2 linked regions of the Struthio camelus genome follow. The protein of the gene in region 2 purifies or fractionates together with the protein of the main gene of each other region. This does not show direct contact. Links are inferred from orthologs where the notes say so. Each region holds a gene or a part of one and is shown on either strand. Other genes may lie near its edges.

Region 1 (7,914 bases), on a different chromosome or scaffold from region 2:
AAACATTCTGATTTTTCCAATCTTTGCTTCCACCAAAAGGACGGAATGAATTCAACACAGTTAGTTGTCAGATATTTTAAACTTTTTTCAATGAGTAAGCCATATTTGTGTAAAAACGCTCCATTGCATTCCTTGAGCAGCAGACAGGCCTTATCAAGAACTACCTCTAGTCTACATTTACCTCTCTTGTGCTGGGATCAGACTCTTATTATTTATCATGGCAAATGCCACTGAGGATTTTACAGGAAGATAAAGAATATAGGAGAACCTAAGTGCAATACCCTTCCGGCAGGACTTTGCCATTGCTACAGAGCTGACTGGCTTCCTCCCCTCACTTGTATCCTCACTAAAGTGTCTCGTCTTGGACATCAGACGCAACGACCAAGTTCGCACCAGACAGGGCCCTAAAATTCACTATTAGAGGTATCATAGCATCTCACGAGATATTATACAACTTTGTTAACTGAATGTTTGCAAAGAACTTTGAGGTCCTTGGATGAAAGCAGGTCAGCTAACATCACAAACAGGACCCCTTCACTCTACTCCTGCGGCAGAGCAGGAGGAGTTATATATGAGAAATGGGGCTTTGCAGGCCAGGTGTTCATATTCCAGTGGCAGAGATGGGGCAGTGAACACGCCACTCGAGCAAGCCTTTGAAACACTCTCCTTTTTTGTATTGCTGCTCTTTCAGTTTGATTCACAACGGCAAATCATTACTGATTCAAATTTAGTCCCCAACAGCATCAGTAGCATTTCTGTAATGTTTAATTGGTCCCCAAATACCTTTTAGATTGCTGTTTCGCATCACCATCTCTTTCCATTGCAACTAGCTGGATGAACCCAAGTTCATTTTTGAAGTAGCATAAACTGGATTGCTTTAGACTGAGATGTTTTTGGACCCTGAACATTCTCTGAGTGGGAAAGTGCGTCTCAATGAGCGGCAGGCAGCCAAAGTCTATTCCCATTCACACCAGCACAAGCCTAGGTCATTCCCCTGCACTTCAGGAGGGATACCTAAGCCCAAATTTGCCTTTGGGAACCAGCAATTACCGTTGACGCATCACGACTACATCTGGCATGCTGACTCTGCATCATTTATTACTTCTCTGATTCTCAGTCTAATAGCGTCGTAAATATCCACACCACAGTGAAGTGGTGCAACCACTCACTTGGTTGCACTCAGCGAGCTCCTGAGGAACTGCTAAAGACCATTTCTGTTTAGAAGTGTGCAAATCTATAGCGTTTTTCTTTCAAAGTGCTGAATGAAATTTCTCTGTTCAAGAGTGACTGACACATGGCTTTTTATCCATACTTCAGTAAGATTCATTTGGTGAGATGCTCTGTTGTAGTCTGTTGTCAAAGGCACAACATGCAGAAGAACGTAATTAACTAAAGATCCAGTGAAGTCTTTGATTTTTAGAGTACGTTGCAGCATGTTAGCATGCTTACCACAACTCACTGTAGGCAGTCCTTCTCACTATATGGTTATCGTCCAACAGCAAGCTATTATTTTAAGACTTTAATCATTGTATTTACCATTTTAATAAGCCTTTAAGATTATCCATCTGAAAATTAGCAGTTACGGAAGCTACGGCAAAGCTTTTCTTTTTTAAGAAAAGACCTTGCTGCTCAGGAGCCTCCCTCTCCCTTGCCCGACTCTTACCACTTCGGAATGACAGGACAGGAGGGGCCCGAGCTGCCAGGGTCGGTCATCAGGGCCTCACGGCCAGGCAGAGAGTCCATCCCGAACGCTGGGCAGCCCCAGCGCTGTGAAATCCCCTGCAGACGCCCGCTCCCAGACCCTCGGCGGTTCTCAGACATGCTTGTTGTGCCATCTGGCGGCAGCCGCTTCTCCCCACCTACCCGCTCCTCGCCACCGCCCTTCACCGCCTTGGCAAGCCACGCTTGTGCTGAACAAGGAACAGAGCAGAACGCACCCCCCCGGCAGGAACAAGACAACCCAAGTGCTAGAGAGCCCCCCCTCCACCAAGCCCTGCATCTGCTCTCGCCTTTTGGGGGGCTTATTCCCACTCTCACCCTTCTGAACTCTTTCCCTCCCATCCAAACATAGGTCTCACTGCCCACCTAGATCTCTCCGAGTCTTTCCAGTCCCCCAGAGACACACGTACTGCTGGAGGAGTCCTTCCCCGGCTCAGTGTGTTACAAATCGCTGGCCTGAACAGAGGCCTGGCCAAAAGGAGCAAGATAACAACCAAGGGGCAGCAATTTGGTTCCCCCTGTCTTGCCCAGAACACAAGCATGGCTCAGTGCTAGGAAACAGCCGAGCTCCAGCAAATCCAGAAAGATCACGACACGTCTATTAATTGAAGCCCCAATTCCACATATAGGTCTATCCAATGAGAAACCCCAGAAGCCTTGATGAGATGTGTACGGTAAAAGGCTTTGCCAGCTCAATATTGAGTATACTGAGTTCATCTTGGCAGGCCTCTTCCATGTGTGGTTAAACCCTTCTCACTAAGGTTGGAAGAGGCCAAAAATATATTTTTCTATACAACAACATCAGTAGAAATGTAAGCTGGTTACTTCTGTTTTTCCCCTTTTCATCCATGAAGTACCTTCCTTCTTTACATATACTGCTCCTTTAAACTCCAGTCCCTATAGATGAGAATTTTTCAAGTTTTAAAATAAAAATCATAACACTTAAAAAACACATTCAGATTTTTAAGAACTAGGGGTACTATAGCCCCTTAACTTAAGGAAAAAAGTTAAGTCATACCTTTAAAAAAAAAGCTTAACAGCTTATAATTTGCCTGACTGCACTGCTAGGAGAGTATCTGATCAGAGTAGCTTTTGCAGCATCCTAAAGCCTCTTCTCAGCTTTTAAAATCAGAGGAATTGAGTCTGTGTTTTGCATGCAAAACAGGAAGGTGATTGTAACTTGTTTTCTACGTTATTTCCATAGCCTCCTGATTCTCTCTTCATAATCGAATCAAGACTGCATTGTTTTGAAAAGCAAAGCATAACGGGTCTCAGCAGGAAACTGCAGATTTAAAAATTCAGATAGTTTGGCTATTTATAACATTCAATTACTCCTCTGGTTAAATTAGTTCAGTTTCAAGACTTTAATTTCTCATTATGCTTTTGATGGATTATGGAACTATACAAGCAAAACAGGTCAAATTCACTGGTGACGTGAAAGGTGCTGAAGATGGTCACATAATAGTCAGCCTATAAAGATGAGATTGCAGGAATGAGAGCAGAATTTAGGACAGCTCACAAAACAGTTTGTGGATAAACCACATATCTCAGGTGGGACCGTTCAATAAATATCCTTTAGCTAAGATTTGAAGACCTTGGGGGTTGGGTACCTAGGAGCAATTTGTGCCTTGGAAAATTCCCCAGGATCCCTGCTGAGAACGGAGATGCCCGAACTTCAGGCATGAGACTGTGGGACGTTAGCAACGATGCTCCACCTTGAACGGATGGGACTTAAGCGTAAGGAGCGCTGCCTGAGATATAGGAAAGTCTCTGCCTTCAAAAGCCTGTAATCTTGACAGATGAAGCAGTTGTACGATTGCACCCTTCTTTCCTCTGCGCGCTGGGGAAGGGGGGACAGCACAGAGCACCGCCCGAGCGAGCAGTAACGAGCATCGAAAGGGGATACGAACAAGCTTTCGTCCTTGCGTCCCACAGCCGTCTGTCGGGCGGCATGGGGCCGAAGCAGGCTGTCCTGGGAGTCCCGGCCCCTGCGAGCAGCGCGCAATCCGGCACGGCCGCCCGCGGCCTGCAACAGCTTCTCTCGAAGGGCGCGGCGGGCTAGGAAAAGGAACCGGGCCGTCCACCCACCCGGCCCTCCCCCCACCGGGCCCTCCCTCCACCCGGCCGTCCCCCCACCGGGCCGTCCACCCACCGGGCCCTCCACCCACCCACCGGGCCTCCACCCACCGGGTCCTCCACCCACCCGGCCCTCCCTCCACCGGGCCGTCCACCCTCCGGGCCCTCCCTCCACCGGGCCGTCCACCCACCCACCGGGCCCTCCCCCCACCGGGCCCTCCCGCCACCGGGCCGCTCGCTCCTCCCGGCGGGATCAGCAGTCCCTCTGCCGCCCGGCCCGGGCCTGCGCTCCGGGAAACGCCGCGCCGGCGCCGGGCCGGGCCCCGCTCCCAGCCGGGCCTCCCGCCGCCGCTCCCGGCGGGGACCTCCAGGCAGCCTGCGGCGCAGGGGGGCCGCCAGCCCCAGCCCCAGCCCCAGCCCCAGCCCCAGCCCCAGCCGGCCCCACGGCTGCCCCGCGCCGCGCCGCGCCGCGCCGCCTCCATCGACAGCTCTGCGCTTGGCAGAGCGCGCCTTGCCCGGCCCCGCCCCCTGCCGTCCGCACGAGCCCGCCCGCCCCTGCCCATTGGTAGCTCGGTGCTCGCCGCCGGGATCCCCGGCGGGCTGGGGCGCGGCCGGCCGGGGGCTGCCCCGCCGCCGAAGGCAGAGACGCGCACCCGGCGGCTGCGAGCCGAGCCGAGCCGAGCCAGGCCACAGCCGGCCGGGGGCTCAGCGCGCCCGTGCTGCCAGCGCCCCGGTGCGCCGTAGGCGAGGGGGAGCCGCCAGCGGCCCGCGACCGCGCGAAGCCCCGCCCCGCCCCGCCCCGCGCGAGCTGCCGACTGCGCCTGCGCGCCGCCGCCCCGCCCCGCGCGAGCTGCCGACTGCGCCTGCGCGCCGCCGCCCCGCCCCGCGCGAGCTGCCGACTGCGCCTGCGCGCCGCCGCCCCGCCCCGCGCGAGCTGCCGACTGCGCCTGCGCGCCGCCGCCCCGCCCCGCGCGAGCTGCCGACTGCGCCTGCGCGCCGCCGCCGCCGCCCCGCCGAGAGGCGCCGCGCTGCAGGCCCCGCCGGCCCTGGCCCTGGCCCTGGCCGCTCGGCCCCGGCGGCGCCGCTGGAGGACCGGGGGGCTCCAGCCTTGCGCCGCTGCCGGTTCCCTGCAGGCGGGGCGATGCCCGCGCCGCGCTGCCCGGCCCCGGCCGCGGCCGCAGCTCGGCGGTGAGCCGTGCCCCGCGGACGGCCCTCGCCATGGCCTCCAGCTGCCCGCCGCCTTTCGGCGACCCGGGCGACGTGAGAGAAGGGTTCCTGTGCCCGCTCTGCCTCAAGGACCTTCAGTCCTTCTACCAGCTGCAGTCGCACTACGAGGAGGAGCACTCCGGCGAGGACGGGGATGTCCGAGGGCAGCTCAGAAGTGAGGCCTGGCGGCGCGTTTGGCGCTTTCCTTTTTGTCTGGTAAAATTCCCTGCAGCCGAAGCTGCTGGTGCTGCAGACCCTCAGGATGGCTAGTAGTACTGAAATACTAATGGAAGTGAGTTACGGCGGGGGCAGGGCTCCGTTTCCCCGTGAAAGGACTTACGCTAAGGCGTAGTTAATACGTTATTCTTCACTCGCTACTTTTAGTGGTGTTTTAGAATTTACATACTGAAAGTAGTCACTTAGAAGGCCTGACTCTGCAGGTATCTGATTGCGTGTACTGTGTACATGTTATTGGCTTTGTTTATTTATTTTTTAACCTGAGCACTCTCAAATTCATGCTGTAACCCAGATAAATTCTTCAGCTAACACTTGGGATTTCACAGAACATAGGTAATCTCCGGTCTTGCCAGGTACCAACTCATTAATCCCCTATTTCTGACAGTGAGGCGAAGTGTAAAGTTAAGGACGGTTGGTGGTAGATAAACATAGACAAGAACATGGCTGGAGGTGCTGGCTGAGGGAGGGCAGTAGATAGATGCTGAGAGTATCCCAGAGTTGCGCTCCAGATCACCAACTTTCACTGGTGTCTGGAAAATCCCTTTGGATTCTTTTTCAACTAAAATACTGCTTCCTTGGTTTCTCTTTTGTCTACACTGTGTCATTTTTACATGGAGAGAGAAATGTGCAGAGCAGTGGGTATTTTCTGTCTTCCTTGCAAAAATCTTTTCATTGTTACTTTATTATAATAGAGATAGCACCCTGGCAGTTTTTAATTTTTACCTTCTTTTTTAATGAGATTGGTGGCTATTGTTTCAAAAGTCTCTCTTGTAAGTGAAGTTCCTGTTTTTAATAACCTATCTTAAGAGTAGTACGATTGAATGTTTTATTTAAAAAATATATGTACAACATATATTTTATAAAAAGTTGCTTTCCATCAGTCTGGCTGCTACTTGGCTTTTAGCACTGTGCTCTTCTTGGACAGTGAAGGCAGACTGGTCAGTACTGCATCACGTTCTCATCATGGGCACAGTGCTGTAATAGCTGAATCGCAGGCGCTTCAGTGGAGTGTTTAAACCAGAACAGCAATAGGGTTTGCATTGCACTAAGAGGAAAGAAAACAACAACAACTTAGGCTTGGTAAGATTTCCCAAATGCTTTCTTTTATTTAATGCAGAACACCTGCATTTTGATTTTGTTCTCTCTGTAGTATTCTTTTAAAGTAGTGTATTGCGCCTTCTCAGGCACAGGTCTTTCATCTGTGTGTTGATATCAAGAATGTTGTTTTTATTTGCTTACTTTCTGTCCTAGCTCTACCCAGTGAAGTCCCTCCCAGACAGAAGGCCAACAAAACTATCTTTTCCCTTAAACAAGGGACTAGAGTTCAAACCGTATATCACGAGTAGTTATGTGATTTTGTGCCGAATTCAGAGTATCCTAACTGTGGAGCTATAAGGTGACTTCTAGTCATTTCTAGTACTTTGAGTGAGTCATACAGAGGTACTTGTGTTTGATTTTGTTACGAAAGACATTATGAAGTCTGCTTGAAAACCTTTTGTGTCTGTGGCAAAACCATGAGGCATCGCGAATTCTTTTTGTGTATGTCTCACTTACTATATTTCCTGTTTATATGGTGTAAACCTCACCTAAGAAACTGCAGTGTTCAGCTAGCATTTGCCATGTTGCCTTGGGAGTATTTTGGGGAAAGGTGGGAGGAGAAATCCTGTTTCTGCGATGATGTTACAATGCTAGCAAAGCCTTTGCCAGCCTGACGGGGACACAGCTTTGTTGACAAGAGTGTTTCATTTCAGTGAGTGTCGTTTTGTGAGGAAGCATAACTTCAGCAGCTGAAAAACTTCAGTTAGTAAGTATGATGCCTGCACGAAGGGGTGCTGCTGGCACAGCTGTAGTGACTGAAACTCCCGAACAGAGGCTCTGGTGCAGTTGAGGTGGAAGTTCTAGTGTTTTGGATACTACATAAGGAAAGTAGAAACCTGAAGGGACTTGCTAACTCATGGTTCCCAGCACCGTGTCAGAAACCTTGAAGTATAAAAGACTTAATTCTAGGAGAAATTGAATGTCTTCTGCAAGAAAATTAGCACCCTTCAAATTCTGCTAGCTTCCAAAGAGGAACATAGCTGCAAGGGGGATAAAAGCTCTCAAGTTTCAAATTCCTAGTCCTCCTTTTGGCCCAGTAGACTGTCCTCCTCTCACTAGCGTTACTATGAGGTAACGGAATGGGCCGCATAGTACTTGGGAAACTATCTAGATATAGTTTGCAGTTAGTACAAAAATGGAGAAAAGAAGGTTCTGAGCATCCTTGAATCCTCAGAAAATCATTCGGAATGAAGAGCTGTTATATGTATGGTGGCCCAGCATGTTATGGAGTGGGTCTCATAAGTTAATGCTGCTTTAGTCAACAGCTTACTGTTTTGCAGTTAAGTCTCAGAATGGTGCGTCTAAAACTACTGCTTTGTCATTAGGAGCTTAGTGCTACTTTATAACAGACAACAAACACCGTTTCATATTGGCTGTGGTTCTCTGGACCGTGCTCTGGTTCCAAACAGGCTAGGTTATATTGGCGTAAAAATCAAAAATATTAATAATAAACTTGTCATCAAGGAAAAAGACTTGTGCTCAAAGATCAGAGGAGTATTCTATACTGGCTTCAAATGACAAATATTCAGTGACTAACTGTCGGGTGCTTGACATGCGGGTCTGTCTTTTCCAGATCTA
Region 2 (7,722 bases):
CCCTAAAAGGAAAGTGTGCATCTAATATGGCTACACCATCCCCAAACACTTTCTTAGATAAAAGTCTTGTTTCTTTATAGGTAGACTGTAGTTTGACTGAAGGAGTAGGTACACCAAAGGCCACAATCCAGATTCCCCGATATACCCCTCCCTTTTTCAGGATCAGGTTTTAAGGATCAGCTACCCCCTTACGGACTGTAAACAGCAATCTGTCTGCTGGGCAACCCACCACGGTGCCCAGTTTGTTGTCGCTAGTGGCCTCTCTGTTAACCATAAAACAAGGCCCTGGAGGAGCATTAGCTTTTTTTCATACCTGGCAGCAGCCCAAGAGGTTGAGAGAAAAAACGTGTGGATTCACTGCAATGTAATCTCCATAGAACTCCTGCCAACAAGTGAAAGCAAATACAGTTAAGTGTCTTGCCAACCCTTATTCAGCCTACAAGTGTAAGCATTCCAACATCAGCAATATTCATGCTAAAATCCTAAGCAATGCACAGACCTGTTGACTCTGATCATTTCTCCTTCCTCCATGCCTAACCTCGCAAATCCCTACACTTCTGCTGACAACTCCACGGCCAATTTCTGCCATCCATTTTTTTCATATGTAGTTCTTTGTCAATAACACAGACAAATGCAGCAGCCTTGCTGAAACACAGATGCTAACTATACCAGCAGAAGCTCTGGCAACTGAAGGGCAAGCAGAAGCAGAGGACACATACAGTTTTCTTTCTTTTATTTTTTTAATCCCATGCGTACATTCCTCTTTGCTTCTACTCCTAGACTGTTGCACAATGTTTCTGCATACTGTTCCACATGGACCTTTCATAGCCACACCTGAATTAGTTAGCGTGTACATTTGCTTTGCTAGTGCTTTTGGATGGGAAGATCTATTTAAGGTATTCAAAATTCACCTGAACTTCTGCCACAACTTCCTGTTCATCAGCTTCAGCTAATGACTTGACATCACTCTTACTGATCACATTACTGAAATCTGAAAGAAAACAACAGTGAAATCAGGCTCTGAGAGTAACACGTAACACAAGAAAATCACAGAACAGTATGACCGGATTTTCCACTGGAACAGGAAGCACATTGCAGCAGAGACCATTTGACTTTACACCTGCAATTATTATGCCGGCATTATAATCTGGTTGTTACTTTACACAGATATTCTCAACTAATTCTCTCTCCAACTTGGTGCCTCTGGTGCTCATATCTAGTATATGACTGCAGCACAGGACCAACATGTGCCACTGAGAGAGACCATGAATTCCACATGCAGCAGGACACATCAGTATCAGCAAGGACAGCTCTCTCGTACCCTCTCCCTGACCTAACCTACGCCCAGTTAGGCAACACCATCTACAGCACTATTGTACTCGGTAGATTTATATGGGTAAAAGGTGGTACTAAATTGCTTAACACAATGACACCGACATCTCTGCTGAAGCTCTAGGCATTGTTGTGCTTATTTATATTAGGTCACCACCATCCTTTATAAACCTGTATCCCCTCACTCCCAAGGAGGCAGCTTTGCTCCTCCTGCACAGCATTCCTGCAGACCCACAATGACATCTAGAGGCCACTTAAGTTCACTTCCCAGAATCTTGCAGAACTGCGTGATGCCTTTCCTAGAGGACCAGACTTGAACACAAAACTAGCTATTCTGCTTAATTTCCAAAACTACATAATATTCTGTGGCATGAACTTGACAAGTGAGAAACACCTGCCTGTTATGCCGGATGTTAAAAGATGCTGGGTAGCAGGTTTAGTTCAACACTGGAATGTGAAGACTATTCTAATACTGACTCCAACATCATTTACCTTAAAGACCTGGGCCAGTCTCTCATCCTGTGCATCTCAGTTTTCCTTCTAGTAAAAGGCACTTTACCCCCAGCATTAGCCTTCCTTCATGTTCATGTTCAACATCATGTTTTCAGAAACAACCGTATGAGAGTAATACATACTTATGGTGTTCCTTTGTAAAAGAAGTTCCTTCAGTTTAATTATTTTATCTTATATATACATACCCTTTGCTAAAAGAATTTGACTGGTGATCACACACTTTCCACGTTGCTTAAATCAAGCTTGAGCGTATTATAATGGAACTGACATAACCTACTGATGAACTTCAAAAACATTTTAGTAAACGTCTCACACCAGCATTTTCCACCGATCATCCAATCGGTCCCTTGACTGGAAAGTCTAACTTATTGGACAAAATGGAACGCACTTACAAATAAAATAGATGCTGTACTTGGGCCTGCGCAGCTCCTGGATGAGGTACTCCACGTTCTCCTGGTAAAAGCAGAACCAGACAGAGCGGATTTACAGAGCGCTCCTGCCACGAAAGGAGCGATTGGACTCATCAAGTCCCCGTCCCGCGTTTTGACCTACGATTTCCCGTTACCTGTCCCGCTAAATAGTGCCACGCTAGTCGCAGCTGCAAAGGGCGGCCCGGAAGCGCTTGCGGGATGGAGGCCGTGGATACGCGCGAGCTGTCAGGGACGGGCAACCGGGGCGAGAAGCTGCGAAGCGCGTTACCTTGGTGGGCCGCAGAAAACAAATCGCTTTCAAGTGTTTCATGGTCTCCCTGTTGAAGGAGTCGATGCGCTCGAAGAGGTACACCTCCTTCTGCAGGATCTCGGACTGCGTGTACACCATGCTCACCACGCCGGTCTGCAGCGAGGCACAGGAGGCCGCGTTACAGCCGGCCCGGCCCGGCCCGGCTCGACGGCCGCTGCCCGGCCCCGGCCCGGCCCGCCGCCGCTCACCGTCTCCCGGTCCATCAGGAGGACCTTCATGCCCGGCCCGCTGTCCTCGATCATCTTGGACACGTACTGCTTCACGGCCAGCACCGCGTTCATCTCGGCTCGGCTTGGCCCGGTTCGGCTCGGCTCGGCACCGCCGCCCTCACGGCCCCCGCCCGCCGCCTCCCTGGGACTTGTAGTCCGCGAGCGGCGGGCGCCGCCGGGCAGCGCCAGCAGGAGCCGCGGCGGCGCCGGACTACAACTCCCGGCGTGCCGCGCGGCGCGGGCCGCGGCCGGGGCGGAGGGCAGCCTCGACCAGCCACCCCCCCCCCCCCCCCCGCCCGCAACCGCCCCCCGGTAACGGCTGCCGCGCGCCGCCCGCTGCCGGGGCCCAGGTGTGTGGGGAGCGGAGCCGCCTGCGGAGCGGCCCGCGGCCCCTCCCCGGGCTGGCAGCGGCGGGGGGGCTGAGGCGTCCTGGGGAGGAGGCAGTAACGTGAGACTAAACTAACCTCTCTTCTAGTGCCAGCTCCCCTTTCCAAAATGCCTTTGCTCGAAAAGCAAGGTGGGTGCTCAGCTTCCCAGCGTCGCCTCTGTGAGTCGTGCTTTACCGCAAAGGGGAAGGTAAAACAAAGATGTGTTAACATCTCTGTTGGATGTTGCATACCGTAATCAGGCCAGTTGTATCCAACCGATGATTTGTCGCTAACACAACCCCCCAAGCAACCGCAAACGGGACCCGCTTCCGCGAAGGCCTCGGCCTCTTCCAGCCCCGCCAGAGCTAGCGCAGAGGAGCTCCTGCTGGTCCGCGTTAGCTCGGCGTGGGGCGAGGTGGGTGCGCCAGGCGCCAGCGAAGCCGCCCGCCGCCTCTGGTGCCGCCGGGGGTGCGGGTAGGTCCCCCAGAGCGGCCCGAGCCCGTCGGCGCCGGGCCCGCGCTCGCAGCATGGCAGAGCTCGGCCCTCGCTCTTCGCGCGGTTGCTCCGCTTCCAGGCAGCTTCTGAAGTTTACGCCCCGTGCCAGCGCGCCAGCTCCTTCAAGCTCCTTCCAAAGGCAAATACAATTTGCAATCTGTGTGTTTTTAAAATGGACCCACAGAGGTACTGAGGGGAGGAGAGAGGAGGCCGGAGCCGTGAAACGCAGCGTGATCGGAGCTGCGCGGCCCGGCCCGGTGGGCCTGGGGCAGCGTCCCCCTTCGCGTCCCCCTTCTTCAGGACGGGGAGCGCAGCGGTTGACCTTCATGGCGTAAATCGTGTTGACGGGAGCTGATATGTATTTTGCTAACCTTTGAAGCAATGGGTCCCTGTGCTATTTGTTCCGCTGCTATTATTATTCCCGAGTGTGACAATTTTGGAAAAGGGCTATTATGTTTATAAAAATGTAATCATATAACGTGCATGTTTTATACAGAAAATGGTGAGCAGGTGCTGATGAAAAATGAAAGCTATTTGCAAATCTTGTAAGTACCTTTTCATAAAAGCTGACACAAAGGAACTCTTTCACGCTTATAGTTCATCTTTTGTTCTGCTTGATTTACATTTAATATACGTCAAAATACATTACGGAAATATGGATATAGCTTAAAATTTTTGTATTTTATAGGAAAAATAAAGATCAGAGAAAGAGACTTGTCCATGAAATCTGTTCCTTTTTAGACAGCAGTCAGTCTGTAAGTAATACTTATAAAAGCATTCTTGGAGACATTCACAATATGTTATTGGTATGCAGACTATAGAAGTGAAGTTTATATATGGAGATGAGAGACATGAAGCTTGTTCATGCAGTTTCTATGGCAGTGTAACTAAGTTTTTAAGAAGTGTCACGCTTTTCCTGGCTATATTAAGCTGAATACAACTAATATATTCTCTCCATACAAGCCACTATACCTTTCTAGTGAATGAATGGGAGGCAATTTAGAAATTCTAGTTACTGTAGGCAAAAAAAACCCTAAGCAGTTTCAGGCAGGTGCTGAGGAAAAAGTAGGTCTCAACAATGAAGGGAGCTGAAAAAGTCTGGCTTTTAAATACATATAATTGCTGTAAAGAACTGCATTAAAGCAGTACCACATTAAGGTTTAGACAAGACCTTATTTTGCCAAAGTTACCTCATGCTTGTAAGTGACACTAAACATGCAGGACAACAGTGGAACTAATCTTTTTGCTTGTTATCAAATACAGTAAAAGATTGCTTGCCTAAGTGTCTACACACTAGTCCTATAAGCTTGGCTTAGAAGGAGAAAAAAATCCAACTGTATCTTCAAAATAATGCAGACGGCCACAGTCTTAAAATCCTTCCCTTTCGTCCAAGTATGCAAATTAATGCACTTGGATTTGTTTGTAGTTTGTTTACAAGTATAATTTAATAAGGATAAAACTGACTCCCCACAATATATACAACATGTATAAGCAAACATCTAGCTGCTGTCATTTTTGCTCTCTGGTAGTAAATTTCAGTATTTACACTATAACTTAAAAAAAAAAACAAGAAAAAGAAAAGACCCTTACCCCTGGAATAACCTGATGTTTTTGTACTCTTGCTTGCATCTGGAAAGCCATCAACCATTGCAGGAATAGAACCAGTGCCAGTACAATGTTTATGAACTTTATGAGATGTTATTGGTTTGGCATCAATTTCTTACTGTTATTCAGAACGTCATGCAACCTAAAGACTAAAGGACAAAGTTGTAGGTATTTTTAAATCAGACAGACGTGCTTAATCAGCCCTAAAGAAAGCTGATGTTAAGGATGTACGGAGTTGATACTGATCTTAATGTTCAAAATACTATGTTTTTTTTTTCTATACTAGGTCCAAGAAATTGATGCTTTGAGGACAGAAAATAGGAAGCTAAAAAATGCGGTACACGTTTTACATTTTTATTTAAATTTGGAGGCAGTTTGTTGTATGACTTTTTTTTTGCAGTTGCCCTGGGAATATTCACACACATCAATTTAACACTTTTGATTTCTCTAGTACACAGAAACTTCACTGTTAATGTTTCTGTATTTGTGCCCAATGCTGTTTCATTCTGTTTTCTCTTCCTCAGAACTCAAGACTGCGATATAAAACAAAAGGTATATTATCTGAAATGCACGTAAGCATTTCCCAATGAGAAATTCTCTGTCGTTGATATCTGCTAAATTAGCAACTGAATTGAAGAGCAAACATCTGTTACTAACAATCTTTTAATACCGCAACATGGAAGGAAAATAATGAAAAAAAGGAATTGTGTATACTTATAAAACTAGCTGCTAATAAAATGAGCTAGATGTGATCTAAATGTAACTTAGGCTACTTAAATTCTTACCTAGTAATCATTCTTATTTGCAGAAGTGTTGAATATCTGCAGCTTCCATTTAAGCCAATGGGAATTTGTGTAGAACTCTGTGTGGAACGGATATCTGCCTTAGGCCCGAGTTTTGCAATAACCACCACTGAAATCAGTGTATGACATTTTGCAGAGTCCGGCACATATATCATTCATAGCCAAACACACTGAAATGAAAGAAAAGTCTATTAAGATATCAGTGGAATAATTTGTCCCCATCTCTCCAACCCATCTGGTTGGAAAATAATAGTGACGTTTACTATGAATTTGCTAGACGGAGCTTCATCTTTTAGTTTGGGTAGCAAAAATAATGCATCATTCCTTTTTCTTCCTAGATTGGGCATTAAGGAAAGAAGAGTATAAAAGGTAAGGATGAGAATTATCTTACATTGAGTTAAAATGATATACAGCTGAGCTAAACTAATGTGGCTTTGTGGTTTAGAAGGGCAGAGCGAATTTCACCCTTGATTAATAAATCTGTCCAATTTCTGGTGGCTAAAGTTCTGTGACAAATTGATGTCTTTATCAGCTTTGTACTTCAGAATCATTCTGACAAGTAACACATTTATTTGCATTTTGCTTTGTTTTCAAAGTGAGATCGAGAGACTTTCTGGCGAGATATCCAACTACTTAAATGTCACCAATTTCTGGGTAAATATATCAGTAGTATAAACAATTTGGAGAGGGTTTTAATGAGATTAAATGTCCTCTTGAAGATACAGTTTTGTTGAATGCTGCAGTGACATGACAAATAGTCAGGGCAAAGGAAGGAAGCCCTAGAGACATTAATTGTAAAAATGATTGGAGTTCGTGCCATTTGTTTGTAGAGATTGGACAAGCGTCAGAAACAGTTAAAAAAAAATCTGTATCCCAAAATGGAGCAAAGGAAAACAAATTATAAACTGGTGCCTTATCTCGTCCACCTGCATTAGAGAGACACTTGCTAGTGATGCATATAAGAAGTGCAAGACTTCTATGTAAATTCCAAAGTGGGCTTTCTAAGCCTCATAAAAAATACCTAGCTTTTTATGATTGCTTATAAAATGAACTGTATCTCTTGTTTAGTATGAAGAGTCGGAGCTTCTGAATGGCCCAGGTATGTTATTTTTAGCAACTGAAAGAACAGCTGAATATAATTATAAAGCATGTTCTCCCTTCTATATAAAACTGTTATGTATTTGCTCGGTTACATACTACAGTGATGTACTTCCTATCTACGTTATAGCCACCATACTATTAACTGACTTATAATGAAAACATTTGCATAATATTAGGAGTCTGACCAGTATTATTGTAGTTTAAAAGCGATTACAGCAAAAATATTTTGAATTCAAAGCTAAAACTAGGAGGTCAAGCATACAGTCTGCAGGGAACTTGAAATGTTAAAATGATTGTACTTCTATTTTTAAATTATCAGATAAGAGAACACCGAGGGACCAGACCAAACATGTGAGGTGAGCAATGGGAAACGTTTGCTTTACCAACGCCTCTCAGAATAATAACATGAGAAAATGCGTTAAGTCATCACTTTACAGAACTGTTTTTTAACTGAACAGGTTGGGTGAATTATTAAGAGAAAAACCAAGCTTTTCAGAGGTGATAAGGTGATTCTTTGCCAGTTAATAAAACGGACATTTTGGGTGCATTTCTAGG

Evidence for each region. Proteins that work in one complex are often made in the same cells at the same time.
Region 1: the proteins of VPS45 (region 2) and RBSN purify together in Homo sapiens (affinity purification with mass spectrometry; 4 studies listed by BioGRID and IntAct, counting the BioPlex papers as one, with this or other methods). This does not show direct contact. The link is inferred for Struthio camelus from reciprocal best matches to the Homo sapiens genes VPS45 and RBSN.

What each region holds. Positions count from the first base shown.
Region 1 is NC_090955.1:453,539-461,452, reverse strand, and holds the start of RBSN (rabenosyn-5), read left to right. Parts: upstream 1-4,914; 5' UTR 4,915-5,013; coding exon 5,014-5,176; exon of another isoform or gene 5,177-5,293; intron 5,294-6,856; exon of another isoform or gene 6,857-7,042; intron 7,043-7,909; coding exon 7,910-7,914. UniProt on the Homo sapiens protein: Rab4/Rab5 effector protein acting in early endocytic membrane fusion and membrane trafficking of recycling endosomes. Required for endosome fusion either homotypically or with clathrin coated vesicles.
Region 2 is NC_090971.1:2,908,003-2,915,724, forward strand, and holds the start of VPS45 (vacuolar protein sorting-associated protein 45), read right to left. Parts: upstream 3,016-7,722; 5' UTR 2,868-3,015; coding exon 2,775-2,867; intron 2,680-2,774; coding exon 2,545-2,679; intron 2,299-2,544; coding exon 2,238-2,298; intron 992-2,237; coding exon 912-991; intron 383-911; coding exon 314-382; intron 3-313; coding exon 1-2. UniProt on the Homo sapiens protein: May play a role in vesicle-mediated protein trafficking from the Golgi stack through the trans-Golgi network.